Linked DNA regions of Styela clava. The protein of the gene in region 1 purifies or fractionates together with the protein of each later gene. This does not show direct contact. Links are inferred from orthologs where the notes say so. Each region holds a gene or a part of one and is shown on either strand. Other genes may lie near its edges.

Region 1 (5,841 bases):
GGGCAGATGGAAAAGGTTTTCATTATTTTGAAACATCAGCCGGTACGGGGGAAGGTGTAAATGAAATGTTCCAGGCCATGTTTAATGCATTAGTAGAACTATCTGAAAATGGAGGAAAGCGTGGTCCTGTAAACACCAATCTTGGTTTTACGAAAGAACAAGCCGATGCTATATTGAGGATAAAAAATGGACGTGATAATTATGAAAAACTTGGAGTACATCATTCTGCGACAAGAGATGATATTAATAAAGCTTATCGTAAGCTTGCTGTTTTGCTTCATCCTGATAAAAATGTAGCTCCTGGAAGTGAAGATGCATTCAAACTTCTTGTCAATGCAAGAACTGCATTGTTAAAAAATAGATGATCATTTGATTTTTTGAATATTTGTGCTTTTTTTTTGTACCATATATTTATTATATGTAATATCTATCAAACGATTTGAAATTATGAAAAATATGGCCCACAGGCGTTTAAAATCTTGAGTGGGGGAATATTTCTCAATTTCTATTGGTCATAAAGGTTATTTACCTTCAACCTTAAAAGCAGTTGCATAAAAGTTACGAGAAAGAAAAGTAAAGCACATAATGATATATCTAACAACAAACCGAGGATGAAATAAGTACATACAATTTAGAATTTTTCAAATGCAATCTTATAACAGATTAAATTCGGTGTAAAAGTTCGAGAAATCCCTTTAATATATAAGTGAGTGAGTGCATGTGGCCCTTGTTTGAACAAATTTCTTTATTCAATAGTCAAATTGAAAGTTTTTTTTAAATATTGCATCCATTATATCTAATACACCTGTTAACTAAATCAATTCATCGAAATTAATTATTTGTGTTGTGAATTGTGATGTCAGATTCTTAGATATCCTCATTATTACTAAAGCTTCAAATATTCACTCCTTCTGCATAATTTTAATGGAATTTTGAGTCAGATATCTGTACAAAACACTCTCCATTAATATTAGGTGCCGGTATTTATTATTAAGAGGAGTAATATAGTTTTATGATTTTGCCTTTATTTTTTTAATTTTTAGAGAAAAATATATATTTTTCACTATATTTCAAAATTTTGTATTTGTAATATTTTGTATACTATTCTGTTTAGTTAATTCTCTATTTTACCTATAATTTTAAACAACACATTACTAACTCTTTTATCTCATATGTATTACAAAATTATTGATGTAGTTAATAATTGGTTATATCAATGTCTCCAGCTATTACACACACATGTTTGTTAAATGTAGTGGTACCACATTTATGGAAAATAGTTATTATGTTAGTCTCAGATTATACATAGTTTTTTTTTTTCAATGAAAGTGTGGAAAATAGTGGCTGGATTGGAATATGTTTTCCTAAGTTGAATTGCTTCAAAATTTACTAAAAATTCATGTCTGAGAATTTATACTACTAACCTGGGCAGTGGCGCAACCAGCGGGGGGGTTACGGGGGTCGTGTCCCCCCCGTTTGAATTTCGTTTTTTTTATTATTGTTCTACGTTAAAACAACGTCGTTCCACAGTCATAACAATCGGGTGAAAACTACTTTTTTCCAGTGCTTTATCACCTCGACGTAATTTAACACCGCCCGACTTCAATCATACTTTTTTGCTGATAGTTACGTAATAATCGCTAACGCCGCGTATATGTTTGTATTCGAAAATGAGATATGTTATCTCAAAAAAGTAGAAATCGCGCGCTGTCGATGCGAATTGAAAGCGACAATAGCATAATGCTATCTCTCTCTCTCTTGTGACGAATACTCTCGTGCTTCATCATCTTGACGCAATGTAACGCCGCCCGTCTTCATGTTATAATAATGCAGTAGAAACTCTGAAAATCTGGATACGAAAATTATTTTCGGAAAAATATTGCTTCGAATAACCTAAGATTTTCTACATATGAAAGGCCGAAAACGCCGTAAACATCCTACCGCCCCCGTCCACGTTCTGATTTAAAAACATTCCACAATTATTTCATTTTTATCGCAATCGAAAGCAGCCATGTGTGGCACGGCAATAACTAACGGTCGTCGTGAAAGGTTTTCAATAAACTCTGACTTGAAGTGCTTATAAGACGTCGAGGACGTTTTGGGTTGAAAATTTTTTACATTTGTTATCGTATATTTCAATTTAGTCAAGATATGTTGTGCGTCTCGGCAATAAACTTAAAAGCAAATCCTGTCCTAATTAATTGTTTTCATCCTCAGTTTCGATAGTTATCGAACTTAACGGGAAATTTTTTAATTTCTTGCAATCTATAAAATAGCTTCTAAATATTATTTGGTTTCTATCGGAGATTTTATCGTTATCCCGAGTCCTGACGTCGTTGATAACAATATCGTTCATTTTAAGTTGGAGGTATTGGTTTATAATCAAAAAATTATAACACATAACATGAAAAATTTAAATCAACGCTGACTCAAAAAGTAAAACACGTTTTTCCATCTTCATTCTCCATTATTGGCGGACGGAAATTTGGGAATCGGGATTAACTAATTTGATTATGATGACGATGGTAAACAAAAGTACACAAACATACTATACCGTTCTTAGTCGTTATTTCTCTGTCCTTTCTTCTTTCTATGTGCATATTAAGACCATAAAACGTGTTTTATTATTGAATTCTGCGCTGATTTGAATATTTCATGTCGGCTGTTATGTATTTTTGTTTGTAAATGAATACCGCTAACTTTAACTGAACTGATGTTGTTATCAATGCCGGATGCCAACGAAATCCGCGATAGATATTAAATACTATTTAAGGGCTATTTTATACGCGCTAAATTAGAAGAAATGAAAAAATTTTCTGTTATGTTCGGTCACTATCGAAACTGAGGATGAAAACAACTAATTAAGACACAATTTGCCGAGGACGCCTAAACCATCTCGACTAAGTTAAAATACCCGATAAGAAAATATTTTCAATCAAAAACGTCCTCGAAGTCTTATAAGTTCTTCAAGTCGGCGTTTATCGAAAGTCTTTCATGTCAGCTGTAATATATTGCCGAACCACACATGGACGACGACGCCTAGGATATGTGCGCCATATTTGGGATTATTATAAACACGAAAAAACAGTATTTGAAGTTTGCGATATTTGAATTTAAATTCGATTTGGACATCCCTGCATTAAATTAGTCAGTTTTTAGTTGTGTTTCCAAAAATTAGTTGTAAATCAATTATTTTAATTGTCATTATGTCTTCCGGTGAGCTTCAGTTTAGTTTAGAATTTTTCCGGGGTTAGGGTCGGGAAAAGGTCCATTCGCAAGAAGTGCATTTTGTTTTTAGTCTTGACGAATTCACCCAACGAGCAAGGCGCGGCACGAGGGAAACACTGGAATTTATTCAAGCCGTGTTTCACTATCCACGAGGCGCAAAGCGAGGAAAACGTTGAAAATAATTAACAGCTTTTCGTTAGCAATTCGCTGGAATGTAATGAACGGCGTTTTGCTACCCACGAGGTGCAAGACATAGCGAAGCGCCGTTAAGAACGAGTGCAAGGTAAGCGAAAGGCTGGGATTTAATCGATGGCGTTTCCCTTTTAACCATGAGCAATTTATCGTGGTCAGCGGGGCGACACCTAGTGGCGTTGCGACTTACGTCGTGGTTGCACTGTGTAAATTCCGGTCGGACCCCCCCGTTGAAAACGGCCTGGTTGCGCCACTGAACCTGGGTTCATAATTGAGTATTTGCATGTGGTAATTTATTGTTCTAATGCTTTTGCAACATATGTTCTTTAAGCCATGTGGCAAGTTTTATACAGTTACTGTTTTTTAACTTCAGGTGCTGTAAATATATATTTAACATTATAATTTATATTTTTCTGTGTGATTTCATGCTTCCACCTTTTTTATTTTAATTTTAGATTTTCAAATATTACCATAATCAAGATAAAAATGGGAAAAAGTAAAAAAGTCAAAGCGAAGCGTGCAGAGCCTCTGGCTGTGAAGCAATCAGTTGGTCTGGTTGAGGATATCACAGCAGACAATGTTACTAAGGCGGCATCAAATCGGCAACCGAAGGTTCGATTCAGACAAGAAGAAGATGATTTTGTCGATAATCGATTAACAAAAAAAATTCTTGATGCAGCAGTAAAACAACAAAAAGAACTGGAAGGAGAAGTTGGGATCGGAGCTTCAAAATTTAAAACTGTAATAAAACTAGGAAAGAAAAGTAATTCCGATTCAGAAAATGAGGATGAAGATGAGTGGCCAAGTTTAGCAGAAAGTGCTGCTCTTGCCGCTTCAGGGGAATATCAAGATCAAGACATAGTTATAAATCAAGAAGATGAAAAAGCATTACAGGCTTTTATGAATCCTGATCCACCAACAAGAAGAACTTTAGCTGATATAATCATGGAGAAAATTACAGAAAAGAAAACCGATGTCTCTACACTAATGCCTGATGTTGAAAATCCCATGCCGGATATTGATCCTAGAATCATTGAAGTTTACAAAGATGTCAAAAGCATTTTAATTAGATACAGAAGTGGGAAGCTGCCGAAAGCATTCAAAGTTTTACCACATCTTAAAAATTGGGAAGAGATTTTGTATATCACGGAGCCGGATACTTGGAGTGCAGCTGCGTTGTATCAAGCAACAAGAATATTTGCTTCAAATCTTAACGTTCACATGGCTCAAAGATTTTTTAATTTGGTTTTACTGCCACGTATAAGGGATGATATTCATTACTACAAAAGATTGAACTTTCACCTTTTTATGGCATTAAAAAAGGCGCTTTACAAACCGGCAGCCTTTTTTAAAGGAATCATTTTGCCACTATGTGAAGAAGGTACATGTACTTTGAGAGAAGCTACAATAATCTCGAGCGTCATCACAAAATGCACGATACCTGTTCTTCATGCTAGTGCAGCAATGATCAAAATAGCAGAAATGCATTATAGTGGTGGTAACAGCATTTTTCTCCGAGCTTTGATTACTAAAAAGTATGCACTACCATTTCGAGTCATTGATGCTCTTGTGTTCCACTTCTCTCAGTTTCGTAACGACAAAAGGGAGTTGCCAGTGTTATGGCATCAATGTCTTTTATCCTTTGTCGAGACCTATAGAAATGATGTCTCTGATGAACAAGCAGATAGCTTGAGAGAGTTGCTGAGGTATCAAATCCATCCTAAGATCACACCAGAAATAAGACAACAACTCATGTCCAGGGAAAGCAAAGAAATTATAATGGAGGAACCTGAATAACAATGAAGTTTAATCTTGTAATCAATAAATTATAAAATTATTTTGACTGTTTTTTGACAGTAAGCAGTGTAGCAGGTATTAGCGTTTTAGATCTCGATGCAAAACTTCACATTTTCATTTTACTTGGCAGCGAGAGGCGTGTTTTGCCATTTGATTGAGTCCCTTTAATCTGGGTGTAAAATATGAGATTCATATCCTGAGAACACTTTATCAAAAAGTTTTGCATGTTTATAGTTCGTTTGTTTAATGTCGACTCTTGGTTTTCATCAGCCGGTTGTCTCAGTAACTAGGCCCCTGAATAAGTGAGGGCAATAATTCAATACCGAAATCCCGTCGCCCTTGATGGCATATCCCAGCATGCCATCCAGCATGTTTTTTTGTTTGTTCGTAATATGATTAAGATTATACACAGTAAAGTTGTCATTATAACTGTGTAATCTGAAAAGTTCATGACCATATGGAAGCGCAAAATCTGCTGCCACGTGACAAGCGGGTTACGTGGTCCTTCCAGTGATAGGCTGAACCATGGGTCCAGGCGTCCAGCGATCCCGTCACATACTATAAACATCCACGGGAATAAATTCCGTTCACACCTCAGAATCATCTAGTAACTATGGTTCATTT
Region 2 (7,528 bases), on another chromosome or scaffold:
TCCAATGAGAAGTGTTATATTGTTTTAATATGACAATTTACTGGTTGCAGGGATGCAGCGGAACTTGCTTCTGAGTTTGGAACCAGAATAGAATATACAACCGATCCAGTCGAGGCTGTTCAGGGTGCAAATGTCATTGTTACAGACACTTGGGTGTCTATGGGTCAGGAGGAAGAAAAGCAAAGACGTCTCAAAGACTTCGCTGGATATCAAGTCACAATGAAGGTTATTCTTAACATTTAAAACTTTCTCATTGTGGATTTTCTGCTGATGCACAGTTGTTGATGTGTGTTTGCAAGTTTTTCTCACATTGTTACTCAGACTTCATCACTGTTTGTTCCTGCGATTAGGGCTGTCCAAAATCGAATAATTTTTTGATTCGAATCGAATATTTTGAAATGAACCGAATAATCGAATAATATTGCGCAATCCTAAATCTGTCTCTATTATACAATAAACGTCTGCCCTTCGATGTTGTGGTGACGTATGTGCAGTTACATCTTACTTACTGCTGGTATTTTGCAATACAATGTTTTCAGATTTATGAAAGGAGATCACACATTTGTATGAACTGGTCAAACAAATTGGAGGACTCCAAAATTTGGGTCTCAAACTGTTGAGATTTAAGAGCAAAAATTGCACAATTCAAAAATTGCAATCTCAATTCTAATGGATTCAGTTTTAATAGGACATTTAAAGCCTGTAGATGCTATTTTAATCCTATTCACTAGGGTGACGTTTTTTTGTGTAATTTTCAGCAAAATAATAACAACCATTAATATAGATAAAACTGTTGCTCAAATTCAAAATTGCGTTTAACAATTTCGAAGCTAGTTTGATGACTATAATATTGTTAGTGTAAAACAGCCATCAAAATTCAAGAGTGCAATTATTTGTCTTGGTATAAAGATGGATAATACAGTATTGCCAGTATAAGAAATTACAAATTCTATTGAAAGAAGGTGTTGCCATCATAAGGATCCCAGAACACCTGTTTCAGCTTTGAGTTGCCTGTAGCAAGTTCCTATGATAACTGACTTAACAGCTTCAAATAGATTCTATTTATAGAACTATGTTTTCTAAATTGCCTTTTTCTCCATGTTCTCTCTCAAAAACGTCATTACTGATAACTTTTAAGTTATGATGACCATGCATAAAATGGCTAATCACGTGCCACCGGGCGGGCATTAGGAATGACATGTTTATCACAAAATGAAGGCGAGAGAAATATCGGGAAACCAATTAAGCCTGGAGCGAGAATGGTCTAAACTCTAAAACTTCCTGCAAAGGTGGTTTCCGCTTTATGTACCTAATCTTAGCGATTCGATTTCGAATATTTGGTTCGCTTAGACGGCCCTACCTGCGATACACTGTGATTTGGTCATTGAATTTATTATACAAGACCAGTAACAGGCTGATGCAACTTCATAAAACAGCTAAAATTGAAGAGAATATTTAACTTTTGCAACAAATATTGTTAGTAACTAAATACGATATTATTGACATTAGATTTTTGAACACATGCCCATTTATTATATCTTTTTTTGAAAGGTTTTCACTTTTTTGCTTCTAGGTATGGTGAAACTATGTTTTTTGACTTAATCTTCTCATTTCAGCATAATTTATTTCGTTACACATACATACTAGTTATTGGGTTAGAACAGGGCTTCCCAAACTGGAGGTCACGACCCCAAAGGGGCATGCAAAAATTTTTAGGGGTCGCAAAGAGCACCAATTGCATACAAAGTACTTTATCTATTGTACTTTTAATTCAAAACACAATTATTAAAACTAATGGAAAACATGAATCTTACGATTTCGAGATAATACCTAGGATCAGAGAAGCAGCGCACTTGCCTAACAATGACGACTTTGATTGTGAGACCCGATAAGCGGCATGCTCTTCTGAATAGGGGGTTGCATAAAATTTCAACAAATTGGAAGGGGTTGCGAGCTTGGAAGTTTAGGAAGCCCTGGGTTAGAACATAAGCATTTCCAACTTCGGCGCTAACTCGAATATTAAATCAGGGGCGAAGCATTGGTTTCCAAATTTATGAATGTGAATCAATATTTTTATTCAAATGTCTGTATTAATATTTTCTTAGATGTGCAAGGGTGCAGCAGATGACTGGTGTTTTCTTCATTGTCTTCCACGAAAACCAGAAGAAGTTGATGATGAAGTTTTCTATTCCAAAAAATCTCTGGTTTACCAAGAAGCTGAAAACAGAAAATGGACTGTGATGGTATGAGCGTAGAAAACAATTGAGTAAACTGTTGTTTAGCATATTTTTATCATAAATATATACCATTTAATTGGTGTCTCTAAATGAGTCAATGAAATTTAAATTTCTTCACCATGCTCGCTAATATTTGTTCAGTGAGTGTATATTTTTCACATAAAATACTTGGTATTCGTGGTTGCTGCTTACTTTGCTCAGAGATCAATCCGCACAATTTTTGAGCGAGTTCCCGTGTGTGTGTGACCTTGCTTTACTCTTATAAAGCAAAATACTCTTATAAAGCAAAGCGTTAAGATTAGTTTTTGTATATATTTGATAGTTTCATCTTGTATTTCTTTATTTCAGGCTGTGCTGGTGAACTTGATGAAGGGCTATCACTTAAAGTAGAAGCTCTGGTATCGGGCATGTTGCAATTGATGAAACAGTGCATTTAACCTGTTATGGTACCTTCATTCCGATATGTCACTGCCGCCCTTGTATTATTTGAAATTTTCTAATATTCGAATAGCGATAGAAAGTCTGTGGATATGAATATTGCATTTTTTGCTTCTTCTGTAAAAAAATTTGATGAAAATTTCGACTTTGCGTGTGAAATTATTATTATTTTTTATCTTCAAGCTTATAATGGTTGCTGAAACAGAGCATCAACAGATTCAGCCCAGTTGAAATTAAGCTATGGTAGTTTACGAAACACTGTACACAATAACACAGAAGCCTCTTCAGTGTCCCTCCAATAGGTTCCCTAATTTGGAAGGAAAGATTGATGGACTTCAGTCTTGATGTTGATTCTATTTACGTTAACGGAGACTTATGTTCCTTAAAATTTACGTCCCCTCGATCATTGATTAAAGATTTTTAAGGACTATTGTTGAATTGAAATACATGCAGTTATTTTCGAGTAGAAAATCTAGTTTCAATTATTTCCAATTTGAATTTATTTCATTACAATATCTTATCCAAACGACGGCCATGTACCTTGAATACGCCACATATAACAATTAAGATAGGATAGGATTTACATATTCATCTCTGGAGAGAGAAAATCAAACAAAACGGCTTAAATATATGACCATCTCTTCCGGTTACAAGTCCCTGTCGGGTGAAAGAGAATTTATTTTTTTCGTCAAAGCAGAAAACGTGATGATTCAATACAATAGTAAATATATAATTGGACGTTACATAATGCAGTTTTCGGTTGATTACTGGGTGATAACGATACGACCATAATATGTTATGGGATTAGCTAGCCATTTATTTGTCATATGCATGGTTCACTTGATGGTGAAAAAAACCGTAACAGACCAGCGGTTATTTGAATCACCCTTATTCCGCGGCGAGGAGTCTAGCAATCTTGCACGCATAATTATACCAGCATGAGATTCGAACCCGGTGTGGTGTCGAGCGTATTCCTAACGGATTTAGAGGACCCAACAATTATTTCGTTTATTGGACACGTAGTGGACATAACGATCGTTTCAATATATATGTTCTTGTTCTTTGACACGTTTTTAAAAAGTCGCTTTTCTCTTCGAATACTGGACCAATTGCTTTGAAATTTTCAGTGGTTAAAGATAAAAATTTTCTCCAGAAGGCTATTACTTTTTTTTCTGCTATGACGTCATCAAAATTATGTAACTCTACGTGTCCATATATTTGAGCATAGCTCTCTTGTAATTAATATTGCATTATATGTTGTTTTATTATTATTTGTTATTGTATCATCATGTTTTCTGGTTCGACGAAAAAATAAATGTTCTCTCTCACCACGAAGCCTTTCAAATAGGAGTGGAATTTTTATTTTATTGGGGGAATACAAAATCCCATTCAAATAACTTAGCGAGGATATAAAAAAAATCAATATTTTCCTGATCCCAAAGAGAATGGGTCGATATGAAGTTAGGTTGGAGGTACATTCAATTTGTTTATCATTGCGTACCGTTGGGGTCCATATTATCTAACAAAAACAAATGAATAAATACAGCCAACTACAAAAATAGCACAAACTTTGTATTCTCGTATATTTGATACTTCTTAATTGAGTATTTGGAATATTGCTATCGATATTCAGTGGGCTTTAACTACGCTGTATGCCAGCATTTTTTGGGTATTTCTTACCAAAAAAAAATTCTTTTTTATGTTCACGATGAAACCAGAGCCATTATATATTTACGAATATATAACGGCTCTGATGAAACTGTATCGTGAAACCGTTTTCTCGCAAATGTAACATTCTCGCCCCGATATCTCAACGCATTCATCCGTGGCTACACACATGTTCGCTGAGCTGAGCGATTTTCAGAAAATCGATTGTCCTGTTGTTCGTTTCTGCCATCTTACAGTTTTAGCATCGGCCTGGTTGCTTTTTTGCATACCGTTTATCTAATAAATTCACATAAAATGTCGGGAGAAAGCGAAGAATTCAAAACCGTTCGGAGTAGAAAAATGAAATCTAAAAGAAAGATGGAGATGGATGATTCGGGACCCACGATCAAAAGACCACATTTTCCACAGATAAGTGGGGACAAATTATTGGTAAATAACTAATTTAATGATATAGTGGTATTAAATACTGAAACTTTGATTTCTTGAAATGGTTCTATTGCTACTTACCGGGTTTGAACTGATTAAAAATCCTGAAATCAGGATAATTTAAAAATCATTATTTAATGAGCCTTCCATCCCTTAATTGCAAAAGTTTTTAGAACTACAGTGCTTTGTTTTTACACTGAGTGAGGATGGACTATAAACGAATAATAATGACGGCCTTGGCCCAGTGGTTCGTGCATCATGCTAGTCGATGCTTTGATAGGAATACGCTTGTAATGGCATCTTTGATTACATTGCATGGATTCGAATCCTGTGGGGAATGATTATGTGTGAGAGGATTGCTGGGCTGCCCGATGGGTGGTTATACAGTTATAGCTTCTTTCGCCCATGTCCAGATGTCTGCATATGTTTAAAACAACTCATGAAATTATTGCCCTAATCGACTTGGACTGATAACCCAGACTGGATTCCATGGCAGATGCACGCCCGAGGGCGCTAGCGCTCCACAAAAATGCACGCGAGCGAATTCAATTTTGCACGCCGAAAATTTGCAATTGCTCACCAATGTAAATCGGTTTAAATAGTTTTTAAATCAATAATCTAGTAATATAAAAATGCCAAAAAATTATAACTTTACAATTGTCGACTAATACTTGCTCGCAAGATTTGGCCTGATCGAAAAATGCGAAGCAAAAATCACCATATCGTGTTGAATGATAGGAATCCCGTGAGAAAAATCGCCTCCTCACCGACGCTGGCCAGTTATGGCTCTGATTCAGCGTATTTTTAATACAATAATTTTACACGGATGTACTGAACAGTACCGGTATCTACTCTCTCTCGCACAAACACTTTCAAAATTAGTGACAAAATATAGAAATGATGTTTTGGGGGTCAAAGGTCAAACGTCCATTTTTGCTATGATCCAACTTATTTTTACGCGGATGTATTGAGAGGTATCTTAGTTCGAAATCAGTTTAGCGGGCGCAGTTGTTTTGCACGCCAGAAATTCTTATTTGCACACGGGAATTTCTGATTGCACGCCCGATTTCTCGTTCGAAAAGGCCATGAAATCCAGACTGGCTGATAACCGGACGAAATGCTGTGGTTTCCATATGAATAAGCTGCCTTATTGTATTCCCTTCTTTTAAATATGACAGTACAGTAGTATGATTTGCTCTTGGTAACGATTGGGATAATAGAGTATACTGATATTGTGTTAAAAAGGTGGTGCAGGATAAACTTTTCAGGCTTACTAGTCCGGTTCTGGCATGGGAATGTCTTTCAAAATGTTAGTTCTACAGTTCTAGGTTAACGTTTTCATTACTATTTATTCTTTTTTTGAAGAAGCTTTAATGGATTATATTATTTCACCAGGATGGAAAGAAAGATTTCAGAAAAATTCCTGTGCCAGCTAACAGATATTCACCATTGAAAGAAAATTGGTTAAAAATATATTCTCCTGTTGTTGAACAACTCAAGTTACAGATAAGATTTAACCTCAAAACTAGGAATGTAGAATTACAGGTGAATAAATCATCCTTTCTCTACGTTTCATGATGATTTTGTTCTAGAAGAAAATCTGGACATCATATTTCAATTCCAAATTTTATTTGTCGGTTGTGTTAGATTCTTGAAAACTATCGAGGTTCAACTGTATAAATGATGTGAACTAATCAGTTACCTATTTTATGATTGATATAACAACATTAAATACAATTCAACTGTCCAAAGTACAATAGCCAGTTGTTTCTTTTCATAGAGCTTGCTATAGTACCGTCTATTTTGGAAATCATCATTTCTATTCAAAATCCTTGATCATTAATAATTGCTTGTTGAATTTATCAGTCTCATTTATTTTGTGATCGCTAATATCAGATTTTTAGTCTTTGGTCGAATACAATAATTTTGTCAATTTGAATATTGATTACGGTATCTACAATACCTGTTGGGCAGCTACATTAGGGAGAATATAATTGGCTTTCCCCCAATTTTTTTACTCAAACTTATCAGCATAATAAACAATATACAAGGCAATAACCTTTGATTTTATTATAATATTTTTATAATTCTTTTCAAGACTTGCAAACAAACTACAGATATTGGAGCATTACAACGAGGTGCAGATTTTGTCAAAGCGTTTATATTAGGTTTCACTGTTGAAGATGCACTTGCGCTTGTTAGGCTTGATGAACTTTTTCTTGAATCTTTTCAGGTTACAGACGGTGAGTATCATCAATGTTGCATATATTCTTTATGTGTGATTAAATTTGCTTTAAACAGAATAACAGTAAATGAAAATTAGGTAACACACATCCTTTATGAGCTGTGTAATGACCATGTTGTTTATTAATCTGGGATTCTTTGCACATATGTTATGTTCTCTATAGAATATGTTTTAATTGACCTGGGTTCTGTTTTTGGGGGTCACTTTTTGTAACTATATTGTTAGCTGGTTAATGAATCTTAGTGGTAATTTAGTTTTTACCAAGCTCAATTCAACTCCAATCCTGTATTTGTTGTTGATTTTTGAAAATATTTTCAGATTCTTCGGCTTCATTTGTTCATATTTTTTTTTCAGTTAAGCCGTTAAAAGGAGATCATTTATCAAGAGCTATTGGTAGGGTAGCTGGTTCTGGTGGAAGAACAAAATTCACAATTGAGAATGTTACGAAATCGAGAATTGTATTAGCTGATTCGTAAGTACATTTCAAATCTTCACTTTCACACTGCAGATTAAA

What was found.
Region 2: the proteins of bystin-like (region 1) and RNA-binding protein PNO1-like fractionate together in Homo sapiens (co-fractionation; 4 studies listed by BioGRID and IntAct, with this or other methods). This does not show direct contact. The link is inferred for Styela clava from reciprocal best matches to the Homo sapiens genes BYSL and PNO1.

Annotation. Positions count from the first base shown.
Region 1 is NC_135262.1:15,087,741-15,093,581, reverse strand, and holds bystin-like, read left to right. Parts: upstream 1-3,906; coding exon 3,907-5,217; 3' UTR 5,218-5,258; downstream 5,259-5,841. Other genes in the region: dnaJ homolog subfamily C member 27-like, read left to right, coding at 1-365. UniProt on the Homo sapiens protein: Required for processing of 20S pre-rRNA precursor and biogenesis of 40S ribosomal subunits. May be required for trophinin-dependent regulation of cell adhesion during implantation of human embryos.
Region 2 is NC_135261.1:15,432,708-15,440,235, reverse strand, and holds the start of RNA-binding protein PNO1-like, read left to right. Parts: upstream 1-4,504; 5' UTR 4,505-4,637; coding exon 4,638-4,772; intron 4,773-6,164; coding exon 6,165-6,314; intron 6,315-6,867; coding exon 6,868-7,012; intron 7,013-7,368; coding exon 7,369-7,486; intron 7,487-7,528. Other genes in the region: ornithine transcarbamylase, mitochondrial-like, read left to right, coding at 51-225, 2,106-2,243, 2,586-2,627. UniProt on the Homo sapiens protein: Part of the small subunit (SSU) processome, first precursor of the small eukaryotic ribosomal subunit.